2 linked regions of the Oreochromis niloticus genome follow. The protein of the gene in region 1 interacts with the protein of each later gene in a pairwise test. Links are inferred from orthologs where the notes say so. Each region holds a gene or a part of one and is shown on either strand. Other genes may lie near its edges.

Region 1 (3,751 bases):
TTAAACCAAACACTGGAGGGTAGCTGGAGAAACCGCCTCCCGTCTAAAAATAAAATGCAGGGAGCTATTCTGCAAGTGATGAGATATTTTTAAGGAAAATTAAGACTAGCGCTGCCGCTGCTGTTGATCCCATTTTGAGGATAGTCTGAATTTGTGCCCATTAGATTTGAATGAGCCTGAAACTAATGAGTATTAATGTGAGTTAAGCAACATCTTAACCCGTTTGCATCATCACAGACTACAAATTTTGCAAGACAACATGCTGCTGGAAATGATTCCAAGCGCAGTAACGCATTAGTCACGCACAAACACGAGAAGAGCAAGAGTTGCTGCGTGGGTCAAGACTTATGATACTTCTTTATTTTCTGTCCTTTGTCCCAGAAAGCACCGCTGGTTCATTCTGTAAAATAAAAATTTTCCAAACACGTACACACACACACACACACAGTCTGTCGCTCTCTTCCACTCTCTAATTTTTGTCCGCATTCCATTAACTTCTCTCTCTCTGGCTATAAATATCCCTGCATGTCAGATTGGACGAGAGCGAAGGCTTTAGTGGCTTTATGGAAAAGAAAAAAGGGGAGTGAGAGATGGGGGAGGTAAGTATAGATAGATGGGGGGTAAATGGGAAAAGGGAGGGAAGAATGGGTGGGAGAGCTTGGGGATTTTGCAGGGGTTTGGTTTAAATGAAACCAGGTGTGTTGTGGGACCAGTGAGAGGGTGAAAAGATGTGGGGGCATGTGTGTGTGTGAATCTGTGAGTTGTGCCTGCGATTTGGACGGATTTGGAATTTCGGTATTTGGGCCGCAGACCAGGAATTTGCATCCTGGGGGGTCAGGGAGAGGGGGTTTGGGGAGTGGAGGATGGCAGTGCAGGGGGCCAGAGGGGGGTAAGGGGGCTGTTCCTCTCTCCTCCCTTTCTCTCTCTCTCTCTCTTGCCTCTGCCTGTCTTGCTCACTCGCTCTCTCTCTCTCCCTCCCTTTCCATGTGCTCAGCTGCTCCAGCTGTCGGTCTCCCCACTCACTCTCTCTCTCAGGGTCATACAGGCAGGAGTTTAAGGGACCACTTCTGTACGCCAACTCGGCTGGGACGACCGCAGCCAGCAGGAGGACACACTGGTCAGACGGAGACTGAGAGACAGAAGATTCCTCTGTGAGTTTTCCTGTGTTTCTTTAGCCTCTTACACATATCTAAGAATGTCTGTTTGTTAAAGAGAGACTTGCTGGATGACTTACTATGTTTTGCTAGCATTTTAGGGAGAAGTAAGGGAGGTGAGATGTACCTCTTACCCACTTTTTCTAGTACAGGCCATACACGTCACACTTGCACCACTGCCCTGCTCTCTGCTCTGCTCTCCCAGCTGCACTTGGCTCCTTATGAGAGCCAAGATAACGTGGCTAACTCTGTCTGAGTAGTTTACTTCTTGGCTCTGACTGTAATATGGGGTTAGACAGGAAGAGAGGCAGTGAGTCACAGGGCACATATTATCGTACTGTAATATTGCAAAATCCTTCCGCCTCATCCCTCTTGTACAACGTTTAACGTCAGTGTCACAAGCTCAGTTTAGTCTCTAGGTGGGGGAAGCTCAAAATCTGAAACACAAACAGGTGCCAACATGTAGAAGAGTTCTCTAAACCTGGATGACCTCACAGTGCACAACTGCTGTTTCACTTTTTGTGCAATCAATTTCCTGCAGGTAAAAGCAGATGTTTCCACTTTAAGGTGGGGATTAGAAAAAAGCAAGCATGTCAAAGTTTTCTGAACTCTAACACAAAAGCATCACACGTTAGAGTTCAGGAGGAACATGTTTTACCTTGTGAGTGAGTTTCTCCTACAGGGCGTTATTTCTGTCTTTACCTGTGGAGCTTCCCGGAACAGAAGTCAGGCCGAGTGTGAGATGGAGACTCCCTGGTTGTGGATTTGCAGGTTCACTGCCACAACTGTAACAGAGCGCAGCTGGTGGAGCGCGCTGGGTCACCGTGTTCTCAGGCTGCTCCACGCACAGCCGAGCACAGCGACGCAAACTTTGTGTATACACTACAACAAGTGACCATCCTGGAGTCTAAACTGTGTGTGTGTGTGTGTGTGTGGTCCAGCTGTTGGTCTTTTTTTGGTTTCCATGTGGTCACTGATATAAGCCGCCTGACATTTTGCTTGTTAAGCTGTTCTGAATGTGTGAATTTAAAAATGGGTCAACCAGCAGTCCTGAAGCTGAGCCAAGCTCCAAATGAAACTAAGATTGCGCCTTCATAAAGTATCGATGATTTACTTTTTTGTATTTTTTATTTTTGTGGGGTAGTAAATGGTACACTTGTATAAAAGAGAAGCCCACCACAAGTTCCCAGAGTCCAAGATGACGTCTTCAGATGTCTCATTTTGCCTCACTAATAATCATATCCTGCTGAATATTTGGGTTACTTTCGTATTGACAGAAAAAAGCAGGGGAAACTGCATATTTGTGTAGTTGCTTTCACATTTTTGCTGGAAAGCGAGTCATGAAAATGCCTCCTGATTCATTTTCTATGGATTGACTCATCAGTTATTCAAATGGTGTATTTTCCCTGTCAGTGGTGGTCGAACGCAGACAATGAAGTTCTGTATCAGAGCCGCATTCTCTGACATCCTCCTACACATCCTCCAAAGGGATGGGAGGTTAGGGAAGAGGTGGCCGGAGGTCTGGCACCAGCTGTCCTCTTATGTGAACTGTGGGGGGTTTCCCAGAACCTGATACTCTGGGAACCACTGCAGTGGCAGGGCATCCCAGCTGAGAACTGGTGCCCACATCCTTGCCACGGGCATTCCAGAGGTCCGCCGCCACTTGATCTCCAGCAGCAGGAGGGAAACACCCATGCATCCTTGCTGCCCACACTGAGTAGCCAGTGAGTGACTGGACCCCAGGCTGATGGTCAGTTTGTTTTTGGGTGGTTTCGGGTCAAATTCTTGCTGGTTGTAAGTCACTGTTGGGCCAATTCAGAGAGATCACGCACTGCGGCCGTCTGATTGCGCGGTGGTATGCGCTACCGTCTGAGCTTACAGTGTGAGAGCATATTTTGCTGCTTTTCACCACTCAAAGGTCACGGTGATGTCATTCCTCGAGTATTTCAGGGTGTCCAAGTCACCCTGCGGCCTTCTGTTTGTCTCAGCCTGAAATAAAACAATAAGCAATGCCTGCAAATGTGGCCTCGGGAGTTTATATCAGAGCGTGAGTGTATGCACGTAGACAGGCAGTGATTATAACCTTCCTCCCTGTATTTTAACTGGAGCTCACTCACTTTGCAAACAACACTTGCTTAGGATTTTTTTATTACTTCAATTTGTCTGTTTAATTTTCCTGTCTTTTCGGTCTGGCGGAGATGGAACGGGCAACTTGTTTATGTTTAGGCTCAGCTTAAACACTTATAGCTTCTTTCAGGAACATTAACTGAAGGATGGTTGTGTCATTGCTGCCAGAGAGGCCCAATCCATCAATACCGAACCATGCAATATATATTTACCTTAAAAATACACTACATGGTACAGAACACTGTATTAAAGTAAAAATAGCAATATAGCAGTGTCAAAAAATATTCTACTATAGGAAAAGCCTGCAAGAGGTGCTAAAGTAACCGTCAACGTTAAGCTATAAAATGAAAAAAAGGAGAAAGTGTAAGGAAGGTAAAATAAAAGCAAAATGGGAAAACTGTCACCTGAAAGTGTATTTTTAAATGGGACTTTAAGCTGATCACTGACTCCTTTGCCTTTTGTCCCTGACT
Region 2 (3,751 bases), on another chromosome or scaffold:
GTCCTGGGGCAGGCTGACAGAAGCGAGACTGCCATGTCGCGCCATCGGCCCCTCTGGCCATCACTAGTAGGCAGTAGGTGAAGTGTCTTGCCCAAGGACACAACAACCGAGACTGTCCAAGCCGGGGCTCGAACCGGCAACCTTCCGGTTACAAGACAAACTGCCAACTCTTTGAGCCACGATCGCCCCAATGTACATTATTTAGGCCCAGTATTGTGTCCTATGGGGTATTTACCCAAATACTATGCCAAAGTTTAATTTTAATGTATGCACTTCTACATTACTCATGTAATTGTATGAAAAGCTACTTCTTCTACAACACTGTATTTTAGTGTTTGTACTCTAATTGTTTAAAGCACACATATTAATATAAAACACATATGATGCTATGTTGTTAAAGAATTAGCTACCCAGAAGTATATTAAGTAAAAACAATATACACACTGATTAATAAGTAACTATGACTCAATAATGTGTATTATCACAGAAAAGGCCCGTTTTTACACTGGGTATTTCAAGTACATACTGATGCTACTTTTTAAGTAAGATTTTAAATCCCAAAATTAGATTCAGAGGTAAAGGATTTTGCAACACTATGCAAAATACCTAGTAAATACCAAATAATATTCACACTCTTACAGTGTCACTATTCCTGCTATATTATTTTTTAGGTATGTTGGGGCTCAGCATTGTGACAAGGGCCTGAAAAATAATGCGCAAGCCAATTTAACGACTCACGGTTTCACAGTAGAACATTGCACTCTAAGAAGATGATCAATGTTCTTCACTTCCCCAACAAAACAGTCTCTACGGCTTTGTATTTTTTTAGTCACAAGAGGGTGCTGTTGGTCCGTTAAAGTCCTGCATAAGCAATGTTGCACCGTGCCGACCCCAGTGTGCACAAAAGTAAAGCACATAAACCTTTTTTACACTGTGTGTCAGTCGAGAATGAATAATGAATTAGCTTATATGTTATATGCACATATAGTAACAGGGAAGCAAATCGGTTTCTCTACACTTTAATAGCAAATAGCAGATTTAAATGTACCAGAATATACATATATATAGATAGATAGATAGATAGATAGATAGATAGATATAGATATATAATTGTATATGTGTGTGTGTGTGTGCGCGCGCGCGTATGTATAAGGGGCCAAATATGGGAAGCACTAAATGGATGTTACTTTTTCTAACCCTAGTATACATTGACTTCGTGCTTCGTTGCACCAACTACCCAATTGATATTATTTATTTCTGTGCATACGCAAGGATTATTAGAGTAATTTTGTTGCTTGTTCAGAAAACAGGAACAATGTTCTGTACTGATTAAACACTCACAAATGCATTGCTAATAAATTTGCAATGAGTCTGTTTTTTCCATTTTGGGAGAGGGGTTGGTCTCGCCATCACCAACATGTGTCCACTGGCTTGAGACGTGGCAGCGCCTCCGGTCATGTGATTTTTGTTCGCACACGAACCCCACCCCGGTATCGCCCACCCCAAAAGATTTGTTTTAATATCGCTCCTTCGTTATTCTTCTGTCAGTTATCCGATTAAATACAAGCACTGACAGAAAAAAAAGTGCTGAGAAATATTCCCCTGCATAACTCAGCACAAATAACTAGACATGGATTTGAGTGGTGGCGGTGACCACCCAAAACAGAGCCATTTTTAGACGTTTACTGCTGACGTTTACAGAGGCTTCAAATAGCTTCCGTTTTACTCTGGTAGTGATTGGACTGTCCTGTACTTGAGTGAGCTAACATACTGGTTGAACAAGTCCGACATTCTTCACTTCAATGGAGGAACAGCCCAAAGACCGGGCACAAGACAGGCAATACCATCACCACGGAGACGACAGGCACTCTTTTCAGCAGCCAACTTGTCTAAAAAATGATCAGAGCCACTTCCAGTGCCAGCATCAGGAAACGCAGACGAAGAAAACAGGTTGGGCCATCCCGAAAAGTTAGCTAATGCTTGCTAGCCTTGGTCAGCTAATGTCAGTGAGCTGACTAGCTTTTGCTAACTAATGTGAACTAAATCGCAATTGAGGACTTAGCCTGCTAGCTATTGGTTCATATTATATATGGTTCCTTGAGATAATTTGGTAAATGTTTCAGCTGGTGAAAAGCTTGGCCCTTTTTGACGGATAGCCGGACGAGGAGCTCACCGTTATGTTAGCAAGTTCGCTAGCTGACGTTGCGTGACAGTTGTCGCTGTGGTTGTTTGACACATCGGGGATTGACCTTGTGCGCCGGTTTCGCCAACCATTTTTCTTTTGCAAATGCATCGTAATCATCTCAAGGAACCCCTGCCATGTTGCCATGTGTTCTTAGCGCATTATTTGATAGGCGTGCACGGCAAGTTATCCTCAACAATAGTCAAAGCTGTGTCTTTTTGTTCGGCATGCTCATGTCCAGCTTAGGAAAACCGAGCCGGCTCCACTGGAATGTTCTGAGCTGCCATTTCCTGTCAGCCATGTTAGACTATCACTGCTGGCTAATGCTGTAGTTCCACAGCTAGTTAGAAATTGTTGTACAGGCAACATACTTTGCTGTTTTGGCATGTCTCTGCTGTCATTTTGGCTGCTGTGGTTGTTGTTGTTGGTGCTGATAGGGCACGACAGTTCCTGGGCGTGTTGGTGGCAACCGAGCCGCTGGTTAGTTGACATTAGCTAAAGCTAGCCATCACTGACAGGCCTGTTGCGTGTTGTGAAGCCAGGCAACAACTGGACAATGTCTTGTTTTGTGGCGCTGAGCTGACACTGTAAGCATCGTCTTTACGAGACTATATGCATTCGTATGATTGCTAGTGAGTAAGAACCGGCCTCCGTCTAAGAGAGGAGAGACCGTATAGAATCCATTGGGTGCTGCGCTCACAGACATTGAGGCAGCACCACTGTGAATGAAAAGTCCTACGTTGACACAGCAATTCCCATGCGTCTGTGCAGTGCACGGGCCTGTTAATAGTTTATTGCTCCTCTGTGCGTGTGCCATAAATGCTGTTGTGAGCGATCCTTGCAGACCTTGCAACAACTTGTGTCTGATGTCGAATATTCTCTGGGGTGGGGGAAGCTAAGCAAGAGTCCTTTACGTTGTTGACAGTTGTGAAGCATATCTAATTTCTATAACTTGTTACATGTAGTGAGCTCTCAGCTTATCTTGGAAGATTGTTAGGAAGTTTAATTTCAGGCAGCACTATAAGAATAATTATAAACCCAATAAGGAGATCAGTCATGTTCTCCATGGGTGTGGTTTACATGTAATACTAGAGAAACATTTAAAAGTTTAATATGCATCTTTTTTTACTTGGATTTGTTTAGGTTAAGAGTTGCATACATGTGAGTCACTTTTTTGCTATTGCGATAGCATGCGTGCACGCACACACAAAAAATCTATAAAATCCTTGTAGTTTCTCCAAGTTTGAAACAGATTATTTGACACAGACTTTCTGTAAATGTAGTACTTGTGGAGGTTTTCTGCCAGGTGAAGGGTGGTGGATGTTCCCTAATTTCAGTATCAACTGATTTTATTTCCCCTTTCAGGCAATAAAAAAGTAAGCATCAGTGACGAGGAGGGAGAGAAGAATCCACATCTGTCTAATGCCGTTGGCATGTCGCATCCACCTAGCATCAATGCTAACAGACATACAATTAATACAAATGCAAAGCCCAAATCCACGCAAAAGCTGTGCACGACTGTTCCAAAAATAAGCATCAAAGGACTGGACCATAAGAAGAGTATGGACT

What was found. The genes of interacting proteins can lie anywhere in the genome.
Region 2: the proteins of efemp2a (region 1) and nufip2 interact in binary tests that used the Homo sapiens proteins (3 or more experiments, as listed by UniProt). The two-hybrid records come from large-scale screens. The link is inferred for Oreochromis niloticus from reciprocal best matches to the Homo sapiens genes EFEMP2 and NUFIP2.

The regions. Positions count from the first base shown.
Region 1 is NC_031966.2:20,257,855-20,261,605, reverse strand, and holds the start of efemp2a (EGF-containing fibulin-like extracellular matrix protein 2a), read left to right. Parts: upstream 1-950; 5' UTR 951-1,151; intron 1,152-3,751. UniProt on the Homo sapiens protein: Plays a crucial role in elastic fiber formation in tissue, and in the formation of ultrastructural connections between elastic laminae and smooth muscle cells in the aorta, therefore participates in terminal differentiation and maturation of smooth muscle cell (SMC) and in the mechanical properties and wall integrity maintenance of the aorta.
Region 2 is NC_031975.2:7,236,454-7,240,204, forward strand, and holds the start of nufip2 (nuclear fragile X mental retardation-interacting protein 2), read left to right. Parts: upstream 1-1,503; 5' UTR 1,504-1,802; coding exon 1,803-1,950; intron 1,951-2,173; exon of another isoform or gene 2,174-3,540; intron 3,541-3,547; coding exon 3,548-3,751. UniProt on the Homo sapiens protein: Binds RNA.